2 linked regions of the Macaca fascicularis genome follow. The protein of the gene in region 1 binds, or shares a complex with, the protein of each later gene. Links are inferred from orthologs where the notes say so. Each region holds a gene or a part of one and is shown in the gene's direction. Other genes may lie near its edges. The genes, in order: OPRL1 and PNOC.

The links.
Region 2: the proteins of OPRL1 (region 1) and PNOC are in contact, whole or in part, in a cryo-EM structure (PDB 8F7X), measured with the Homo sapiens proteins. The link is inferred for Macaca fascicularis from reciprocal best matches to the Homo sapiens genes OPRL1 and PNOC. Residues at the interface, in NP_000904.1 of Homo sapiens: Gln107, Asp110, Gly114, Phe115, Trp116, Val126, Ile127, Asp130, Tyr131, Met134, Gln192, Glu194, Ile198, Glu199, Cys200, Leu201, Val202, Ile219, Val279, Gln280, Val283, Gln286, Gln291, Pro292, Ser293, Val298, Leu301, Arg302, Thr305, Tyr309; in NP_006219.1 of Homo sapiens: Phe130, Gly131, Gly132, Phe133, Thr134, Gly135, Ala136, Arg137, Lys138, Ser139, Ala140, Arg141, Lys142, Leu143.

What each region holds. Positions count from the first base shown.
Region 1 is NC_088384.1:120,232,845-120,241,683, forward strand, and holds the end of OPRL1 (nociceptin receptor), read left to right. Parts: coding exon 1-213; intron 214-4,572; coding exon 4,573-4,928; intron 4,929-5,022; coding exon 5,023-5,546; 3' UTR 5,547-7,405; downstream 7,406-8,839.
Region 2 is NC_088382.1:31,489,239-31,499,518, forward strand, and holds the start of PNOC (prepronociceptin), read left to right. Parts: upstream 1-3,956; 5' UTR 3,957-4,025; intron 4,026-4,236; exon of another isoform or gene 4,237-4,287; intron 4,288-10,280.

The sequences.
Region 1 (8,839 bases):
CCCATTCTGGGAGGTTATCTACGGCAGCCACCTTCAGGGCAACCTGTCCCTCCTCAGTCCCAACCACAGTCTGCTGCCTCCGCATCTGCTGCTCAATGCCAGTCACAGCGCCTTCCTGCCCCTCGGGCTCAAGGTCACCATCGTGGGGCTCTACCTGGCCGTGTGTGTCGGGGGGCTCCTGGGGAACTGCCTCGTCATGTACGTCATCCTCAGGTAGGCTGGGCCACGAGGTTCCTGTCTGCTGAGTCCCACACAGCTGCAGAGGGGGAAGCTGAGGCGGAGGCTGTTCTGGACGGGCCTGAGCAGGTGTTGATTTCCTGCTTCCCCCATTCAATTTGTTGGACCCTGTCCAGGAGGCAGGGTCAATCCTGAGGCCCCAGGGAGGGGAGGGGAGGGGAGGGGCTGGCCCTGGCCCACCCCATTCTGTCCCAGGTAGAGGCGTCACCACCCTGACCCCTGGTTTGAGCTGTGGACCAGGCTCTGTATCAAGCTGTCTGCTTCAATGACCTTATGAGACCCCACAGCGGCCCTGTGAGAGGCTCTTTTCAGCCCATTCCCCAGATGGGTGAAGGGAGGCGCAGGGGCTGGTGCTGGGACAGTCCTGAAACCCCTTCTCAGGTTCCAGGGCTCCTGCTTATGGCAGGTGTGTGTGGCTGAGCCCATCATCTGTTGGTGCTCTGAGATGGGAAAACTTGTGGGGGCCAAAGAGAGGGCAGCTGATAGTTGCGGTTGAGGGAGCAGTGCGGGGACAGTGTGGGAAGCAGTGCAGGGGGATAATGGAGGGCAGCCAAGGGGATAGTGTGGGGGCAGGTGGGGGGCAGTGGGGGACAGTGCGGGGGGCAGTGCGGGGGGCAGTGTGTGGGGCAGTGGGGGGCAGTGCGGGGGCAGTGGGGGGCAGTGCGGGGGCAGTGGGGGGCAGTGGGGGGACAGTGTGGGGAGCAGCGTGTGGAGCAGTGTGGGGGACCGTGCGGGGGGCAGTGCGGGGGGCAGTGTGTGGGGCAGTGGGGGGCAGTGCGGGGGCAGTGGGGGGCAGTGCGGGGGCAGTGGGGGGCAGTGGGGGGACAGTGCGGGGGGCAGTGCGGGGGACAGTGCGGGGGGCAGTGTGTGGGGCAGTAGGGGGGCAGTGCGAGGGCAGTGTGGGGGGCAGTGGGGGGGCAGTGTGGGGAGCAGTGTGGGGGGCAGTGCAGGGGGATAGTGGAGAGCAGCCAGGGGGATAGTGTGGGGGATACTGTGGGGGACAGCAGGGAGCAGCCAGGGAGATAACAGGGGGATAGCATGGCGGGATAGTGTGGGGGACAGTGGGGGGGAGCTTGGGGATAATGGGGGGATAGCATAAGGCAGATAGTGTGAGGGGGTAATGAGGGGGATAGTGGGGGGATAGCATGAGGCGGATAGTGTGGGGGAGTAGTGAGGGGGATAGTGGGGGAATAGCATGAGGCGGATAGTGTGGGGGGGTAGTGAGGGGGATAGTGGGGGGATAGCATGAGGCGGATAGTGTGGGGGAGTAGTGAGGGGGATAGTGGGGGGATAGCATAAGGCGGATAGTGTGAGGGGGTAGTGAGGGGGATAGTGGGGGGATAGCATGAGGCGGATAGTGTGGGGGGGTAGTGAGGGGGATAGTGGGGGAATAGCATGAGGCGGATAGTGTGGGGGGGTAGTGAGGGGGATAGTGGGGGGATAGCAGGGGGATAGCATTGGGGACAGCATGGGCACAGCATGGGATCAGTGTGGGGGTGAACAAGGAAACCTTCACATGGATTGTGGATTGGGCAGGTAGAAGATGGAGGTGACTTAAGCAGAAAGGGAGGGTTTTCTGGGCAGAGGAAATGACGGACCCCAAATCCATCCAGAGGAGAGAGAACTGAAGGGCCTGGGGACAGCAGGTGGGATCCTGAAGGCCCGGGTGGGGGAACTCTGTTCTTCAGGCAGTGGGGGGTTATGGGTGGTGCTTTAGCAGGAAGCTAAATGAGGTTCCTGACAGCTGGAATGAGGTTTCTTATTGGTCCAGGATATTTGCCTGGACCCAGAAAAAGGCAGTTCTGAAGACAGTGTCCAGGGCTCTAAAGCAAGTGTTCCCTCCTTATAACCTCAAAGGGTCCCAACCAGAGGTGTTATGTAGGTAGAGGCAGGACAGGGTAGTGGGGGTGTTTAAGCTGCCACCATCCCAGCCCTGTCCTCTTAGTGTCCCTGAGAAAAGCTGTTCCCCTCTGGGCCTTGTTTTTCCCATCTGGAAAGTGAGCAAGGTGGACCATGTAACCACGTGTATATGTGTGTGCGTGTGTGTGCGCGTGTGTGTGCGTGTGTGTGCGCGTGTGTGTGCGTGTGTGCGTGCGTGTGTGTGGGTGTGCGTGTGTGTGTGCGTGTGCGCGTGCGTGTGTGTGGGTGTACGCGTGCGTGCGCGCGCGTGTGTGCGCGTGCGTGTGTGCGTGTGTGTGCGCGCGTGTGTGTGGGTGCACGTGCGTGCGTGTGCGCGTGCGTGCGTGTGTGTGCGCGTGCGTGTGCGCGTGCGTGCGTGCGTGTGTGTGCGCGTGTGTGTGTGCGCATGTGTGCAGGTGATGCGTGGTCAGACGAGAGAGTGGGAAGAACAGCTGCCCCTCCCCAGAGCTGACTCCTAAGGGAGGCTCCACGGAGGTTGCTCCGTGATGTGCATGTCCCTTCGTGGCTGGCTGGCGCGTCACGGCTGAGGAGTGCGGCGGCCTGGGGCAGTCCCTGTGCTTGAGCACCTTTCCGGCTGTTACCGCTTCTCTACTGTCTTTCTCCTCTACACTGAGGTGTTCAACCTCTCAGAGGCACTTCTTGGATTAGAGCAGGCAGGGAAGGTCATGTTGCTGGGCAGAGTCCCCAGAGAGAGCGATGCTCAGGGGCTGCTGTGGCCACACTGGCCCAAGAGGCAGCATGTTGTGAGCCAGTGGGCTGGGGTGACCATCCCAGGAGTCAGAAACACTCTGTTCTGAGCCCTGCCCTGCTTTTTACCAGCTCTAAGGCCTTAAAAAAACAACATAGATCCTGTAGGCCTCAGTTTCTTCCTCTATAGAGTGGGGATCAAAGTAGCATTTTTGTAAATCTTCAATGACATAAATTCCCCCGAAGAGCTTGGCACAGGTATTTGCCATAATCATTGTCATTGTTGTTTTCTCTTTGTAATTGCGGCCTCTTTGTGCTTATTCATAATCCCTCTCTAAGAGGCAGAACTGAGCCCCATATTTCCTCGAGGCAGCTAAACTGACATAGAATAGTGTCATCTCGGGCGCTGCTGCCACTGCCAATACCGCCGCCACCACCATCATCACAGTCATCACCATCACGTGACACCATCATCACCATCACCACCACCACCACCATCACGTTCATTGTCATCATCATCACCATCATCACCATCATCATCACCACCACCACCACCACCTCCACCACCACCATCACGTTCATTGTCATCATCATCACCATCATCACCATCATCACCATCACCACCACCACCACCATTACGTTCATAATCATCACCATCATCACCATCATCACCATCATCATCACCATCACCACTATCACCACCATCACGTTCATCATCATCACCATCATCACCATCATCACCATCACCACTATCACCACCATTACATTCATCATCATCACCATCCTCTCTATCACCACCACCGTCATCACCATCATCACCATCACCATCACTACCACCACCACCATCACGTTCATCGTCATCACCATCATCATCACCATCACCACCACCACCACCATCACGTTCATCGTCATCACCATCATCATCACCATCACCACTATCACCACCATCACGTTCATCATCATCACCATCATCACCATCCTCTCTATCACCACCACCATCATCACCATCACCATCATCATCACCGTCACCACCATGATCACTACCATCATCACCACCACCACCACCATAATCCCCCCCCAAATATTACAACCATTAACTGATTTAACAAAAATTTATTAACCACCAACAACTTTCCCAGCCCTTTCCAGCACCTTTTCAGGTGCTTGGATACAATCATACCTTATTAGCATCCCTCCTGTCCATGTCACCATTTTCTGTCTCCGTTGCTAGATAGCAGTGTGGACTTGGAAGCCTTTTGGTATGTTCTTATAGATTCCGGAGCTCTCAGAAACCTCTGGCAACTGTAGGGTCAGCATTTGAGTCTGTGAAGGGTCTCTGAGGGGACTCAAAAGCAAGGAGAGCAGGCTTTTTCCCTTAGGGCTCTAACCCTTCGCTCCCGTGGAGTCTGGGGTGAGTTCTCGTACCCTACATGCCCTGACCCCTGTAAAGTAGACTCGTGTTTAAGGCTTGGAATCCTTTGGTGTGTGTCAGAGTCACTTGAAGAGCTGGTGAAGATGTCTCATGCCAGGTTCCATCCCCTGAGACTGACTCAGTGAGTCTCAGGTTGGGTCCAGGAGCTGTCACTTACCAAGCCCCCATGGGAACTCTGATGTTAAGGGACTCAGGGCCAGTGTAGCTTGCAGTGGCCAAGACGAGCCCCTTGCCCTTTGCTGCCCGGTCCAGCCGGCATAGCCAAGTGAAGCCTTTCTTCTTCCTCTACTCTGCAGGCACACCAAAATGAAGACAGCCACCAATATTTACATCTTTAACCTGGCCCTGGCAGACACTCTGGTCCTGCTGACGCTGCCCTTCCAGGGCACAGATATCCTCCTGGGCTTCTGGCCGTTTGGGAATGCCCTGTGCAAGACAGTCATTGCCATTGACTACTACAACATGTTCACCAGCACCTTCACCCTGACTGCCATGAGTGTGGATCGCTACGTAGCCATCTGCCACCCCATCCGCGCCCTCGACGTCCGCACATCCAGCAAAGCCCAGGCTGTCAATGTGGCCATCTGGGCCCTGGCCTCTGTTGTTGGTGTTCCTGTTGCCATCATGGGCTCGGCACAGGTCGAGGATGAAGGTCAGTGGGGTGTCCCCTCCTCCCCTCACCAGGCTCTCCACGGCTCCTGGGTGGCTCCTCTGGGCCCACTCTGACCCCACTTCTCTCCCTGCAGAGATCGAGTGCCTGGTGGAGATCCCTGCCCCACAGGACTACTGGGGCCCTGTGTTTGCCGTCTGCATCTTCCTCTTCTCCTTCATCGTCCCCGTGCTCATCATCTCCGTCTGCTACAGCCTCATGATCCGGAGGCTCCGCGGAGTCCGCCTGCTCTCGGGCTCCCGGGAGAAGGACCGGAACCTGCGGCGCATCACTCGGCTGGTGCTGGTGGTGGTGGCTGTGTTCGTGGGCTGCTGGACGCCTGTCCAGGTCTTTGTGCTGGTCCAAGGGCTGGGAGTGCAGCCAGGCAGCGAGACTGCCGTGGCCATTCTGCGTTTCTGCACGGCCCTGGGCTACGTCAACAGCTGCCTCAACCCCATCCTCTATGCCTTCCTGGATGAGAACTTCAAGGCCTGCTTCCGCAAGTTCTGCTGTGCCTCTGCCCTGCGCCGGGAGGTGCAGGTGTCCGACCGTGTGCGCAGCATTGCCAAAGATGTGGCCCTGGCCTGCAAGACCTCTGAGACGGTACCGCGGCCCGCGTGACTAGGCGTGGACCTGCCTATGGTGCCCGTCAGCCCACAGAGCCCATCTACGCCCAACACGGAGCTCACACAAGTCACTGCTCTCTAGGCTGACACACCCTGAGCCCTGAGCATCCAGAGCCTTGGATGGGCTTTTCCCTGTGGGCCAGGGACACTTGGTCCCAGAGGAGGACCTAGTGACATCATGGGACAGGTCAGAGCGTTAGGGCTACCTCCGTGGCCCCAGACAGACTAAAGCTGCCCGCCTGGTGCATGGCTGAGGTGACACAAAGACCTACCTGGAAGCAGCTGCCGTGCTGCTGGACGGCCGCGACTGGAGCCCGTGCCCCTCCCTGCCCGTGCTTCACGTGACTCTTGGCCTCTCTGCTGCTGTGTTGGCAGAACCCTGGGTGGGCGCACCCGGAGGAGGAGCAGCGGCTGTGTCGTCCTGTGCACCCTACGTGCTGTGTGCTGTTTGCATGGCAGGGCTCCAGCTGCCTTCAGCCCTGGGACGTCTCCTCAGGGCAGCGGGACAGACTTGGCGCTGCCCGGGAAGTCCAACAGGCAGCATTTCTTTGGGGTGGGACTTGCCCTGAGCTTGGAGCCGCCACCAGGAGGACTCGCCCGTTCTGACTCCACCTGTGCAGCCAGGGCCACCCCAGGAGAGTGTCCAGGTGGGCTGGCTGTCCCTGGCTGCAGACCCCGAGCTGGTCCTGGGCCAGCCGCACCTCTGAAGGTTTCCTGTGTGCTGTGCTGTGCAGGCCTCATCCCTGACTGAGCTTGGCTCTGGGTCCAACCCCCCTTTCCCTTCAGGAGACCCACAGGAGGCCCCGGCCCATTCCCTCCAGCAGTGCAATGAACTGTCATGCTGTGGACCGTCAACCGAGCTCTGCTTCTCGGTGTGTGGCAGGTGTCCCAGGAGGAAGACGCCGTGTGACCACATGGGCAGCCTGTTGTTCACAAAGTCGAGGCCTCGTTTTCCTGGTCTCGACTGCTGTTTGTAGCAGGGTGGGAGAGGATCCTCTGGGGGTCTCCACATCCTCCCGGGGGGTCTCCACATCCTCCCAGGGCTCCCCTCACAGCCTCTCCTTTGCTTGAAGCCGGAGGTCAGTGGCCGTGCAGTGTTTTGGGGGAGCTGTGTTGCGGGGGAAGCTGTGCGGAAGGAGAAGCCGGTGGCCACAGCGGAGTCCTGCTCTGGTGACGCCTGCTTCATTTACAAGCCTCAAGATGGCTCTGCGTAGGGCCTGAACTTGCCGCCCAGCGAGAGGATGGCTTCACAGCAGAGCCAGCATGGGGGTGGGGCTTGCCAGGGCTTGCTTGAGCCAAACTGCAAGCGCTGTACCGGCTGTGAGAACACTGTGGGGGTGGGAGGGGGTCTCTGTACCTCAGGGGATGCCCTGCTGTGGTCAACCAGAGAATCACCCTTCCTGGTCTACAGATGGCAGCTGCAGGTTGGTGACTTTGCAAATGCACTTCCTACAGACGAACTATTAAAAGACCTGCAACATTGTAAAAACTCATTTTTCCATCAAGACCTTGGCCAGGTAACCTTAGGCTCCTGCCAAGAACAGGAAGTGATGGCCGTCTCACCACAGAGCCTGGGCTGCTCCTCCAGCTCTGGGGAGTCTAGGCCGTGGGGACTGTCCCTGGGGAGGCCCCTGCTGTCTCCGTGACATCTGTGGCAGGAGTCTCTGAGAGCGGGAGCTGCCTAGCTACAGTGTTTTCTTGCCAAGGCTAAGTGTTTTGTGACTCTGTGCTGACGTAATGTGCATCTTCACGTATTTATGCATGTGGCAATCGTTACTTCCTGTGCACGCAGCCAGCCCTGGGTCTGTCTCTGGGGTAATGAAAAAGGACCCTAATAAACACCTGCTCACTGGCTGGGTATCTTCATGACAGGTGTTTCTGGCTCCTGCCACCTGGGGATTTGCCTTTGGGGTGACTTTTCTGGGATTGGCACGTGAGTGGGAGGAGGCTATGGGGTTTAGGCTGAGTTCTTGCACTTGTCCTGTGCTGCTCAACAGGCTGGGCTCTGTCCTCAGTGAAGGGTCCTCCAGGAGGCTGCAACCCTGGGGAGAGTTGAAGCCAGTTAATGGTGTGTTGGCCGGGCTGTTACCTTTTCTTCACCACACACAGTTTCTCCCTAAATAACCAATGGCTGCACCTCTCCCCTGCCCCCTGGAAAGAGATTTCCTGAGGATCCAGTGGGAGGAGGCTGCTCCCACCCAGGCCTCAGGGTTTTCTTCCCCCTATTTCATCTCAGAAGAACCCCTGCTCCTGCTCATTTTCCCTTCCTAGAGCAGATCTGAGGGGAGTTTTTGTGAAGGATGAGCAGACAGCCTCCTCTGGGGCTGGGCACACGCTTGCCGTGGACATCTGCCTCCTGGTTCCTGTTTGGCCCAGTGCAGCCCAGGCTGACCTGCAAAACAGAGCAGCTTTGGAGGGTGGGCACCGGCACACTCCAGTCCAAGCGCTTGTCTCCAGGGCATGGGCAGATGGGCAAGTTCTGTAGGGTTTTATATAGGTTTGAATGACGGACACTGTCTTATCCTGGACTGCTGTAGCAAAGCACCATAGATCCAATGGCAATAGAAACAACAGACGTTTATTTCTCACGGTTCTGGGGGCTGGGGATCAGAGATGAGGTGCAGGCACACAGTCAGGTTCTGGGAAAGACCCCAGGCCGTAGAGGGCCGTCTTCTCACTATGTCATGACATGGGTTTGAGAGCTCAAGAGCATCTGGTTCCTAAAGGCACTCATCCCTTTCAGGAGGACTCTGCCGTCATGACCTGTCATCTCCCAAAGGCCCCCTTCTCCTGATACCATCAGCTTGGGGGGTGGGATTTCCAAATACGAATTTTGGAGGAACACAAATAGTTCATAACAAACACATTGCCATTAAAGCAAACATTTAGCATCAAGGGACAATTTGGGAGGGACAGGCTGCACCGGGGTAGTCACCGTGCCCTTGGGCCCGGGAGATGGTGTGGGCTTGGTGGAAGAGGCTCACACGTGGTGCTGTCCTGTCCTCGGGTGGGTGTGGATCCAGGGCTAAGCCCACAGCTAGTATCTTCCAGAAGGAGCCGGCCAGACGGGCCAGGGCTGGAGGAGGAGTTGGGGGGTGTTGGAGGCTGACCAGCTCCCTCGCTCTCCCCACCCCTCTGACCACACCCTGGGTCTCCTCTCCAGCCCCCCGGCTCCCCCAACCCACCTCTGCTGTTGGGCTTGGTCAAGTCGCCTGGCTTTTCTGAGCCTCAGTTAACTTCCCTGTGCACAGGGGACCGCAGAACCCTCTTTGTGGGGTTGTGGGGAAC
Region 2 (10,280 bases), on another chromosome or scaffold:
TGAGTAAGAAGCAGCTTTTCCAGTGGGACCCTGCTAACGTGGTTACTAAGGAGACCAATTGGAGGTAGGCGCCATAATTAATCAGTAAATTCCAAGCAGTCAAATACCTGGCCGGGAAAGGCTCTTTACTCTGAGAGGGGAAAATTGGCAGGTGGGTGGAGGTGTGTTGAGCTCAACATTGGGCCCAGCTGCGGCTGCCTCCTTCCCCTGTACTTCCTCTACTGAGATATTCTGATGACAATTTTAAGAGTTTTCTCGGGAGGCCGAGACGGGCAGATCACGAGGTCAGGAGATCGAGACCATCCTGGCTAACACGGTGAAACCCCGTCTCTACTAAAAAATACAAAAAAAAAAACAAAAAAAAAACTAGCCGGGTGAGGTGGCGGGTGCCTGTAGTCCCAGCTACTCGGGAGGCTGAGGCAGGAGAATGGCGTAAACCCGGGAGGCGGAGCTTGCAGTGAGCTGAAATTCGGCTACTGCACTCCAGCCCGAGTGAGACTCCGTCTCAAAAAAAAAAAAAAAAAAAAGGTTTTCTCAATCTACCTCAAAACTTACCTGTCAGTACAGAGTGGATTCTAATATTTGTAGCCTCCCTGGTTGGGCCTCTATTGCAAAGATGCCAAGCTGGTGTGGGCAGGAGTGAACTTCCACCACCTCATAAGCAGAAGAAATAAGAATTTTATTTTATTTTATTTTAATGAGACAGGGTCTTACTCTGTTACCCAGGCTGGAGTGCAGTGGCTCAATCATGCCTCACTGCAGCCTCAACTTCCCAGGCTCAAGTGATCCTCCCTTCTCAGCCTCCCAAGTAGCTGAAACTACAGGTGCTTACCACCACACCTGGCTAGTTTTTCATATTTTATAGAGACAGGGTCTTGCTGTGTTACCCAGACTGGTCTTGAACTCCATTCTCCCACCTTGCCCTCCTAAAGTGCTGGGATTACAGGCATGAACCACCATGCCCAGCCAAGAATTTTATTAATTCCAAGTTCTTGCACGCACACACACACACACACATACACACAAAGCAGTAGAAATAAGAACATGTGACCTTTCCTTTCCAACTATTTTAATAAATGTATCCTGCCAATCAGAAAAGCAGGGGGCAGCTGGAGAAGCCCATGGCTCTCAAGGTGCCATGTCTCAGTGGCAAGGGGGAGGCCCTGAAGCCATCACAAATGCCACACAGTCTGAACCCTTTCTAGTCTACTTGTGCTTTTCTGAGGGGCAAGGTTCTTCTACTCCCCCACCCAACACTGGTTTTAAACTCCCTCCTGGGTTCATCCTGCCCTTCTCCATCGATCACAGGAGACAGCCTGCCACCACATGCAGCTTCATTCAATCCACCAAGAATATCCAGGTCATTGGGTTCAACTCTTCTATCTGGTAAATGAGGAAAGAAAAGTCCAGAGAAGCTAAGTGACTTTTCACTCTTGCTCTTTCTCTTCCTCAACTGCAAGGGAAGAAAAGCATTTAGCTGCCTGAACATCCTGGGAATGACAAGGTGCTCAAAGGCAGGTGTGTTGTTTAAGGTAATTTTCCACTGGATGTAATAGAAAACCCAACTAAATGGCTTAAATCTTAGGAAGTTAACGTTTCCAATGCCTCCAATGAATGGCTTCTGCATAGCCACCCTCTATTATCCTGGGACTTCATAGTCTCCACCCAGCCTGGCTCTGGACAGCCTTGCAACTGGCCTTAGCCAATAAATGTAGCAAAAGCAATGGACTGCCAACTCCATGCTTAGGTCTCCAGAGGTTCCATGTGCTTGTGATTGTTCCCTTGCTTGATTGTATTTGCTTGTGCTTTCACCTCAGGTTTGCCATGAGGCCATGCCAGGCTAATATGCTGAAGGGATGTGAGAGACCCATGAAGGATAAGACACGTGCAAGAGAACCAAGGTCCCTAGCTGACACCCAGCCAACCTTCTGAGTCCAACTGCAGGTGCAGAAGAGAGTCAGGCTGAGACCAGAAGAACTGCCCTGCTGAGCCTAGCCAGAATTCCCAATCTGTAGAATCATGAGTCAAATATGTGGTCTGTTGTTTTAAGCCTCTGGCCTTGATGTGGCTTGTTATGCAGCAACAGGTAACTGAATCCTGACTGACATTTGAAATAAAGGTTTGGGTTTTCTTTTAAAAAAAAGGTTAAAGTTTGGAAGTCCAACATTGATATGGCCACTCCATTAGTCATGAGGGACCCAAAATCCTTCCATCTTTATGTTCCATCATATTTACTCATTGCTTCCATCCTCAAAGTTGTCTCATCTCGTAATCCAAGATAGCTGCTAGAGCTCCAGCCATCACATTTGTGTCCCAGGCAGGATGGAGGGAGGGCAAAGAAGAGAGAGAGGCCTTTAGCGAGTTGACCCCCTTTAAAAGAGCTTTCCTGGAAGCCCCACCCACGGACCTGCAGCTTAATGCTCATTGGCAACCCTTGACCAATGGGAAATGTAGTCTTTTAGCTCAGGGCATTGATGCCTAGATTAAAATCAAGGGTACCGTTTAGTAAGGAAGAACAGGGGAATGGGGATTGAGTAGGCAGCCACCAATATCTGCCACATCATGTATGAAATCAGGATCCAGGTCTGAGACCCTGAAGTACATCAGGATGCAAAAGTGACCCCGTGTCATTCAGTGAACATGCTAGTTTCCCAAAGGGTCCATAATGTTAGCTGTGACCTGCAGTGTAAGGTTTGGGCAAAAGAGATCTAAGTGAAGAATTGTGAGTATGCTGGTCTCCTGAGCCCTTTTGCTGTGAACACAGATGGAAGGGACATTTTATTCTCAGAACCTGTTGCTCTTAACCTGAGCAGATGTTTGCTGTCTTTCTACCTATTTTCTTTTTATTGAGATGTAATTCCCAGAACATAAAATGCACCATTTTAAAGCATATAATTTGGTGGGTTTTAGTATTCTTGCTATGTTGTGCAACCATCACCACAATCTAATTCCAGAACATTACCATTACCCCAAAAAGAAACCCTATACCATTCACAGTCAGGGCAGATGCTTCCCTCAATCCTTCTCCACCCAGTCGTGGGTAGACAAGAGAGCTGGACTCACCATATGAGAGTGCTTGAGCTCCTTGGATGACACAGGTTCAAACCCTGGGATTCTGGAATATTTTAGACCCTCTTCGGAAAACTAAGGACAGGGTCATGGTGCAATTCACCTACGGTAAGGAAAGGTGGGGTCCCCAAGGATGCTAAACCCTTGAGCCTGTGCCTTCAGCCTGTGAGCTCCCTTCCTGCAGCCCACAACCTCCAGCGGCTGCAGAAGACAAGGAGGCTCTGCAGTAAGGGACAGGGAAGCTTCCAGAGCTTCTGATCCTCCAGGGCACTCGGTAGTGGCACCCTAAGGTGCAGAAGCTTTAAAAGCTCTCTGTTGTGACACCAGACACTGATATGGGATTTCTAGATCCAGGTGGTACTAATTAGCGTGAAAAGGGGGCTGAGAGGAGAGGGAGGATGCAGCACATTCATTAAGGGCCTCGTGTGTTGCAGATTCAAACAGAATCTCCTTTTTCTACTCACAACCATCCTGGGCAGTGTTAGACTCGTTTTCCAGAAGGAGGACTTGAGGTTCACAAAGAGATGTGCCTTGCTCTGACTGTACAGCCGAATTTCAGACACTTCCATCTGAGCCTTGAGTCTCAGCGCTCTCCATCGCACCATGCTGTGGGCACCTGTGGAAATGCCTCCTGACCTGGCCCAGGGCAGGTAGAGCCACCCCTTGAGTGGCCTAGTTAGGGGCAGTGACATTAGGTGGGGGCTTGGCTTAGCTCAGCCCTGGGCTCCTCCGTGCCGGTGGGAGCCTGGCGTGAGCTCCCCTGCCTTCTGCCTGCCTCCTATTCTTCACTCCTCAGGCAAAAAGGTTGCTCAAGGAGAGTCCAGGATTTGGGGTCTGCCTCGTCACTGTCACCAGGAGGCTTTCTTTCTGACTTGCCAGAGCTCCCCGTCAGTCCTCGCAGAGCCTCTGGAAGCACAGGGAAGGCAGCTGTGGGATCCTGGCTGAACAGAGTCCAGGTGAAGCAGGCTTGAGAATGGATTGATGGGGAAGTGGGGATGTCACAGGTCTGATGGCAGAGCCGGGGAAAGGGAGCAGCCAGAAGGCTTGCAGGTTCTGCTCTTTGGTTGCTGAAGGGGGTCAGTGTGTGTATGTGTCATGGAGGTGGGCAGGGAAGGGGAGGGCTGTGCGTGGGGGAGAGGATATATATGCTGGTGTGGCTGAGACAGCGGAACCGAGCCTCACATCCATCGGAGGGAGCCGGGGACTGACAGCTCTCAGGTAGGCAACTGCACGGGGCCCCCAGCCCGACCGCGACTAACTGGACTAACTGCGTGGAGCTCCGGGAGGGCAGGGCCACCGGGGTCTGGCTCCTCGGCCTCTCTCCTTTGTCCAGTGTGGATGCTGCTGGCCTCTTGCGAGATGGTTTCTTCATTCATCTCCTTTGCAGCGCTTGGATGGTGGGGAACGGGGGAGGGCTAAGGCTCTTTCTTAACCGCAGACAGATGCAGAAACAGAAAGAGGGGAACTTGGAAATGAGGAAAAGTTTTGCTTCCCCAGCTGTGGCCCCTACGTGGTTGTTGCTCTGTGTCGAAAGGAGGCTGCTGGAGGAGTGAGGTCAGGGGAGGGGCAGGCACTTGGGAGGGGGTTTGCCTTCCACGGGGCGGCCTCCAGGAAGCCCCTGGCCCCCTCATGAGGGTTTTCTCTCCGTGGCTTCCTTTCCTCTCCGATGCGGTGTGCAGGCTGCTTCTCCGCCTATCACTGAACTTCATGCCATCCAGATGGGAGTTTTTAATCCACAGGGAGCCCTTCTCCCTTCTGCCCCCAACAGAAATTGCTACAAATAATGGGGAAGCGCCAGACCTGGGGAGTGTGCTTCACCTGTGTACACACACTGCTGAGCGCCACGGCGTGTGAATTCCAGAGGGCATTTCTACGGGCGTGACCTTGGTCTCCCAGAACCTGATTCATTTAGAGGGCTCTTCTCTTGCTTGGCATCTCTCTCCCCCTGCCCATCTCCCCCACCTAAAGGTCTTTGCCCAGGTCATACAGAATACTCCGTTCATAGTCACCGCATCCCAACTCTGGAGGCTCTCTCGGCCACCTTCTTTCTTCCTCCTCTCTTTGTGCGCCTCTCTCCCTCGGTCTTGCTTCCCCAGGCTTCACTACCCAGCCCCTCCTCCCCCAATCTCGCTCTGAACATGGGCAAGTTCTGGGGGAATTTCAAGTAAGGCAGGATGATTCGGGAAATGGACTATTTAAAGCAAACTGCTTTGGACTTGAATACCCTGTTCCTGCGCTTAAACATCTGTGTTTAGCTTCCTCAAGCAGCCCATAATTGCCCCAATTATAACCAATAACATTGTTCGGCAGACTAACAAAAGATGAGCTTTGCACGGCATTCGCCAGCAAGCCCAAACCAGAGTTTTCAACATAGATGGGAAAAGTAACTGCCTGGCTTCTTATCAAAACCTCCCAAAGCAAATACTGCTCTTTTTCGCTGCTTGTGGGTGGCTACAGCCTGCACCCTCTTTTCTTCTCATTTGTAAAGTGTGGCAGAGAAATATTCTATAAGCTTCCACTGAGGCTGTGTTACCTTTAACAAAAAGGATTCGTGCTCCTTTGGGCTTGCTGAGTCTTCTGCAGAGGAGGGTCCCTGGAAAACCCATCCCCAACCATCCTCACCTCAGTAAAAGCAGCAGCTTTTATATCTCCATGTGCCACCAGTGCTGCCTGTCAAGGGTGCTGTGGTGCAGCCTCGGGTTGTTTTGAGGGCGCGGTTTTGTTGCCCACAGGGCGGCAGCCCCTGCTTTATCCGCTGAAGGCTGAGAGTACTTAGGGATTTGTAAAATGCTGGCGAGTTTGCATTGTCAATGAAGGGAGTGATTGCAGGATTAGGCTCAAACCTGTGCTCCCTGGCGCCTATGACAGGAGCTGTCACAAAGCTGTTCTGTATTCAATCAATCAGGTAGTTATCGTCTACACTCCACCAGGCAGGGAGGCTTGCAGGGGCTCTACTAGATTCAGCGGAGGTGATAATAACAGCACTTTACATTTGTACAACGATTTAGGCGCTTTCACAACTATTATCCCAGCAACAGCCCTGTGAGGTGGTGCCATTATCTCTGTGTTGCAGTTGGGGAAACTGAACCTGAGAGATTAAATGATTTATTCAGTACATGGCAGGGTCAGGACTGAGCCAAGCCATTCTGGCTCCAGTTCATCTCCCCGTTATGGTCAGGGGTGCTTGTGAACTCCTAGTGGGGTCGGGGGTAGAGGAGAGACATGACACAAACATGAGAAACAATTAGAGGACCATGCAAAGCTGGGTGTAATTCAGTCCTAAATCGCATAATCCAGAGAGCAAGTGCTAGAAGAATTTGGGAGAAGGAGCACTTCCTCCTGGGATTCCTGGGATTCTACCAAGTGGGAAGGCAGGTGGAATCTGGATGGGTCAAGAGCTTTGAAGAGGGAGGCAGCAGCCAGGTCAAACACACAAAAGGAGGGCCACGGAATTAACATTTCTTGAAACCCACTCTGCACCAGGCAGTGAGCTAAGCTTGTCTGCATGTTTATTTTGTGCTAATACGCACACGCACATATGCACACGGGTAGGAATGGGAAGTTTCAGGTGAGCGTTCTTTACTTGCACTGACATGGTTCAGCGATCCCTCATTTCCCCATCCAGCTCCACAGCTCCCAAAGCCCACGAAGGAAGCTTTGAAATCTCTTGCGTTCCGGGTCTGGGTGGAGCTACTCCTCAGATGTCTTAGGAAGGGACGGACCCTTCTCAGAAAACAGGAGCCGTCCTGACAATGAATGACTGGTAGTGGCTTGAATTGCTGGGCTATCATGAAGCAAACTGAATTTTCTAAATGCCTTTATTTAAATCCCACAATCGAACATAAAGCTTTCCATCTAATCACAAACTAGTCGTGAGATTTGGAGCACATCAATTTCAGGGACAAGCCAGTTTTCTGGGCATCTCCCTGGATAGGCTACAATTAGTTTCAGTCTCAATTTTCCATGATCCTGTGGGTTTTTTTTTTTTCCCCAAAATACTGGCAGCTGCTTCAACATTGCAGAAGCACAAAATCATCAGCCCGCGGGCCCAGCCTAGCAGGTGGAGTAGATAGCATGCCTCACCGTGCACCCAGCTCTGCCATCCCACAATGGCTCAGATCCAACCTCCCCTCTTTCCACATTGGCCTGCAATCTTCCCCCCACCCTCCATCTCCATTCATTCTTTCATTCATTTGGCCAAGGAACGGTGTGTGGAGTTCCTGATAGGAGCCGCACAGAGCAAGTGCCAGGAGCACAGGGCGGCCAGAGCTCTGGCTTCCTCCAAACTCACAACGGGCTTCAGGAAATTGAGACTTTTGTTTTTATCTTACCTTTCTTAATTTGCATTTTAGTGGATTTTATAAAGTATGTAACTTATAAATAAATTAGGAATGTGTACTCAAAATCGACTGCTAGGGGTACAAATTTAAAGAAGTTTGACTGGGCGCGGAGGCTCACACCTGTAATCCCAGCACTTTGGGAGGCCAAGGCGGGCAGATCACCAGGTCAGGAGATCGAGACCATCCTGGCTAACATGGTGAAACCCCGTCTCTACTAAAAATACAAAAAAATTAGCCGGGCGTGGTGATGGGTGCCTGTAGTCCCAGCTACTCGGGAGGCCGAGGCAGGAGAATGACGTGAACCCAGGAGGCGGAGGTTGCAGTGAGCCGAGATCGCACCACTGCATTCCAGCCTGGGCGACAGAGTGAGACTCCATCTCAAAAAAAAAAAAGAAGTTTGAAGATTGTTGTTCTAGATTCATTGCTGTTTATCTGTGTTTTCCAATATTCCAATATTTTAGAAAAGAACATTGAATGATTTTATTACATAAAAGTAAATAAAAGCTTTTCTTTCTTTCTTTCTTTTTGAGTTGGAGGGCTTGCTGTGTTGCCCAGGCTGGTCTTTTGTTGTTGTTGTTACTGTTGTTTACAGACAGGGTCTCACTCTGTCACCCAGGCTGGAGTACAGTGGCACAATCACAGCTCACTTCAGACTCAACCTCCTGGGCTCAAGCTATCCTCCTGCCTTAGCCTCCTGAATAGCTAAGACTACAGATTTGCACCACCACACGTACCTAATTTTTTTCTTTTTTTTTTTTTCTTTTTTTTGTAGAGATAGGGGTCTCACTATGTTCCCCAAGCTGGTCTCAAACTCCTGGGCTCAAGCATTCTAAGTTGCTGGGATTGCAGATGCATCCTAATACACCCAGCTAAAAGTGAATAAAAGCTTTCCAAAATCTATTTAAATTATGTTGCCAGTATATGTGGGAGTGTGGCCCAGAACCAGGAGGATGGGAGTTGAGGGCTATCTTCCCACCTGCAGCAGCCCTGAACATGTGTCTTTTGCCCCCTCCACATCCTTTCTATGGCTTTCCTCCCATGCTGCCCGGAAGCTACTTCCCCATGAAGCCTTCATCTCCTTTTCCTCTTCCCTTCTTCCCTCCCTTCTCACTTCCTGGAAAGTACAAATATCTGGCCATTCATAAAATCAAAGAATATTAACCATCTCATCTAACTGCCTCTTCTTATAGAGGGAAAAGCTGAGGCCCAGAGAGAGAAAAGATCTTGCTTAAAATCCCACAGGTAACGACAGAGCCGGACTAGAAGCCAGGACTCTTGTTTCTGAGCACAGCTCTCGCTCATTCATTTCTCCCCAGCCTAGGGAATGCTTGACCTGTGCTGGGCTGGGCAATTGTTCTTTCCTCCACCTCCTCTATGCCGTCCCCCTCTTTCCAGGTGGAAATTTAGATCAGAGGAGAGACATTTGAAGTGTAATGGTATCAGCCAGAAGAGGAAAAGAAACCAAAGCAGCCTCTCTCCATAATAGCTGGTAAATAAGCACAAGCTCTATTGTAGGAGTCTTGTCTGCAATGGGTCTAAGAAATGGGGCATGGGGAAGACCAACCTATCTTCCAATGGACATGCAGCTGGTGCGCAATGAAGGATCCCTCTGTGAACTGGGGAGAAGCAATAATAAAGAGGTTGTCATCAGCCCGGGCACAGTGGCTCATGCCTGTAATCCCAGCACCTTAGGAGGCTGAGGTGGGAGGATAATTTGAGGTCAGGAGTTCGAGACCAGTCCAACCAACATGGTGAAACCCCGTCTCTACTAAAAATACAAAAAAATTAGCCAGGCATGGTGGCGGGCACCTGTAATCCCAGCTACTCAGGAGGCTGAGGCAGGAGAATCGTTTGAACCCGGGAGGCAGAGGTTGCAGTGAGCCGAGATAGCACCACTAAACTCCAGCCTGGGCAACAGAGCAAGACTCTATCTCAAAAAAAAAAAAAAAAAAAAAAAAGGGTTGTCATCAGAGAGGGAGTGCAGAGTTCAGAACAAGAGGAAGTCCCTGAATGAGTTCTCCTACACAAAGACAGCTGCAGGGATCACTGACGGGCAGGATCAGACATGAGTCCCAGCTCTGCCACTTGAAGTTATGTCGACTCCTTAAGCCTCAATCTGCTCAACTATAAAACGGGGATGATAACAATTAGCGCAGAGCCTCGCTCATAGTGCTCTAAAGTCATAGTAATATGATTGCTATGAAATGCAAATAGATTCCACCACAATGAGATTCCGTCAGAATTTGGCAACCTTCCAAAAGCAGAAACAGTGTGTAAAGTTTATGGTTTCCCAGAGCACACGATTTGGAGTCAACACACCTGAGTTTAAGTCCTGGCTCTGCTACTTATAAACTGGATGATCCTAGTCAAATTGCTTAACCTCTAAGAGTTTATGTTCATCTTAAAAAGGTGGGTTGATATTAACCCTAGATTATAGGGTTGTATAATATATGAATATAAAATTTTTTGGTAACCTGTCAAGAATGTTCTCTACATGTGGTTGATGAAAAGTGATGAAAAGGATGGAGGTGTATCTGCCTCTAGCAAGACCAGTCCCCTCTTCTCTTCTCTGCTGGCAGCATCAAAATTACAGGCCTTTGCATAGGTCATAAGACAAAACTTAATTAGGGTTGAGCTTCGGCTAAAGCTGCATATGTGATTCTCCAAACAGATAAGCAACTAATTATATTGCCCTTGGAAGCAAGATTACACGCAAATCGATTAAGGCCAAACCATACCAGTATTTTATTTTTATAAACAGCAAGGCACAATTAAATTTATGAGGTGTCATTGCCAAAAGAAAAGGCAATTCAATATTTCTTTATTCAATATGAGATGCCCAGAATATAGTATTGCCACATAGAAGTATTA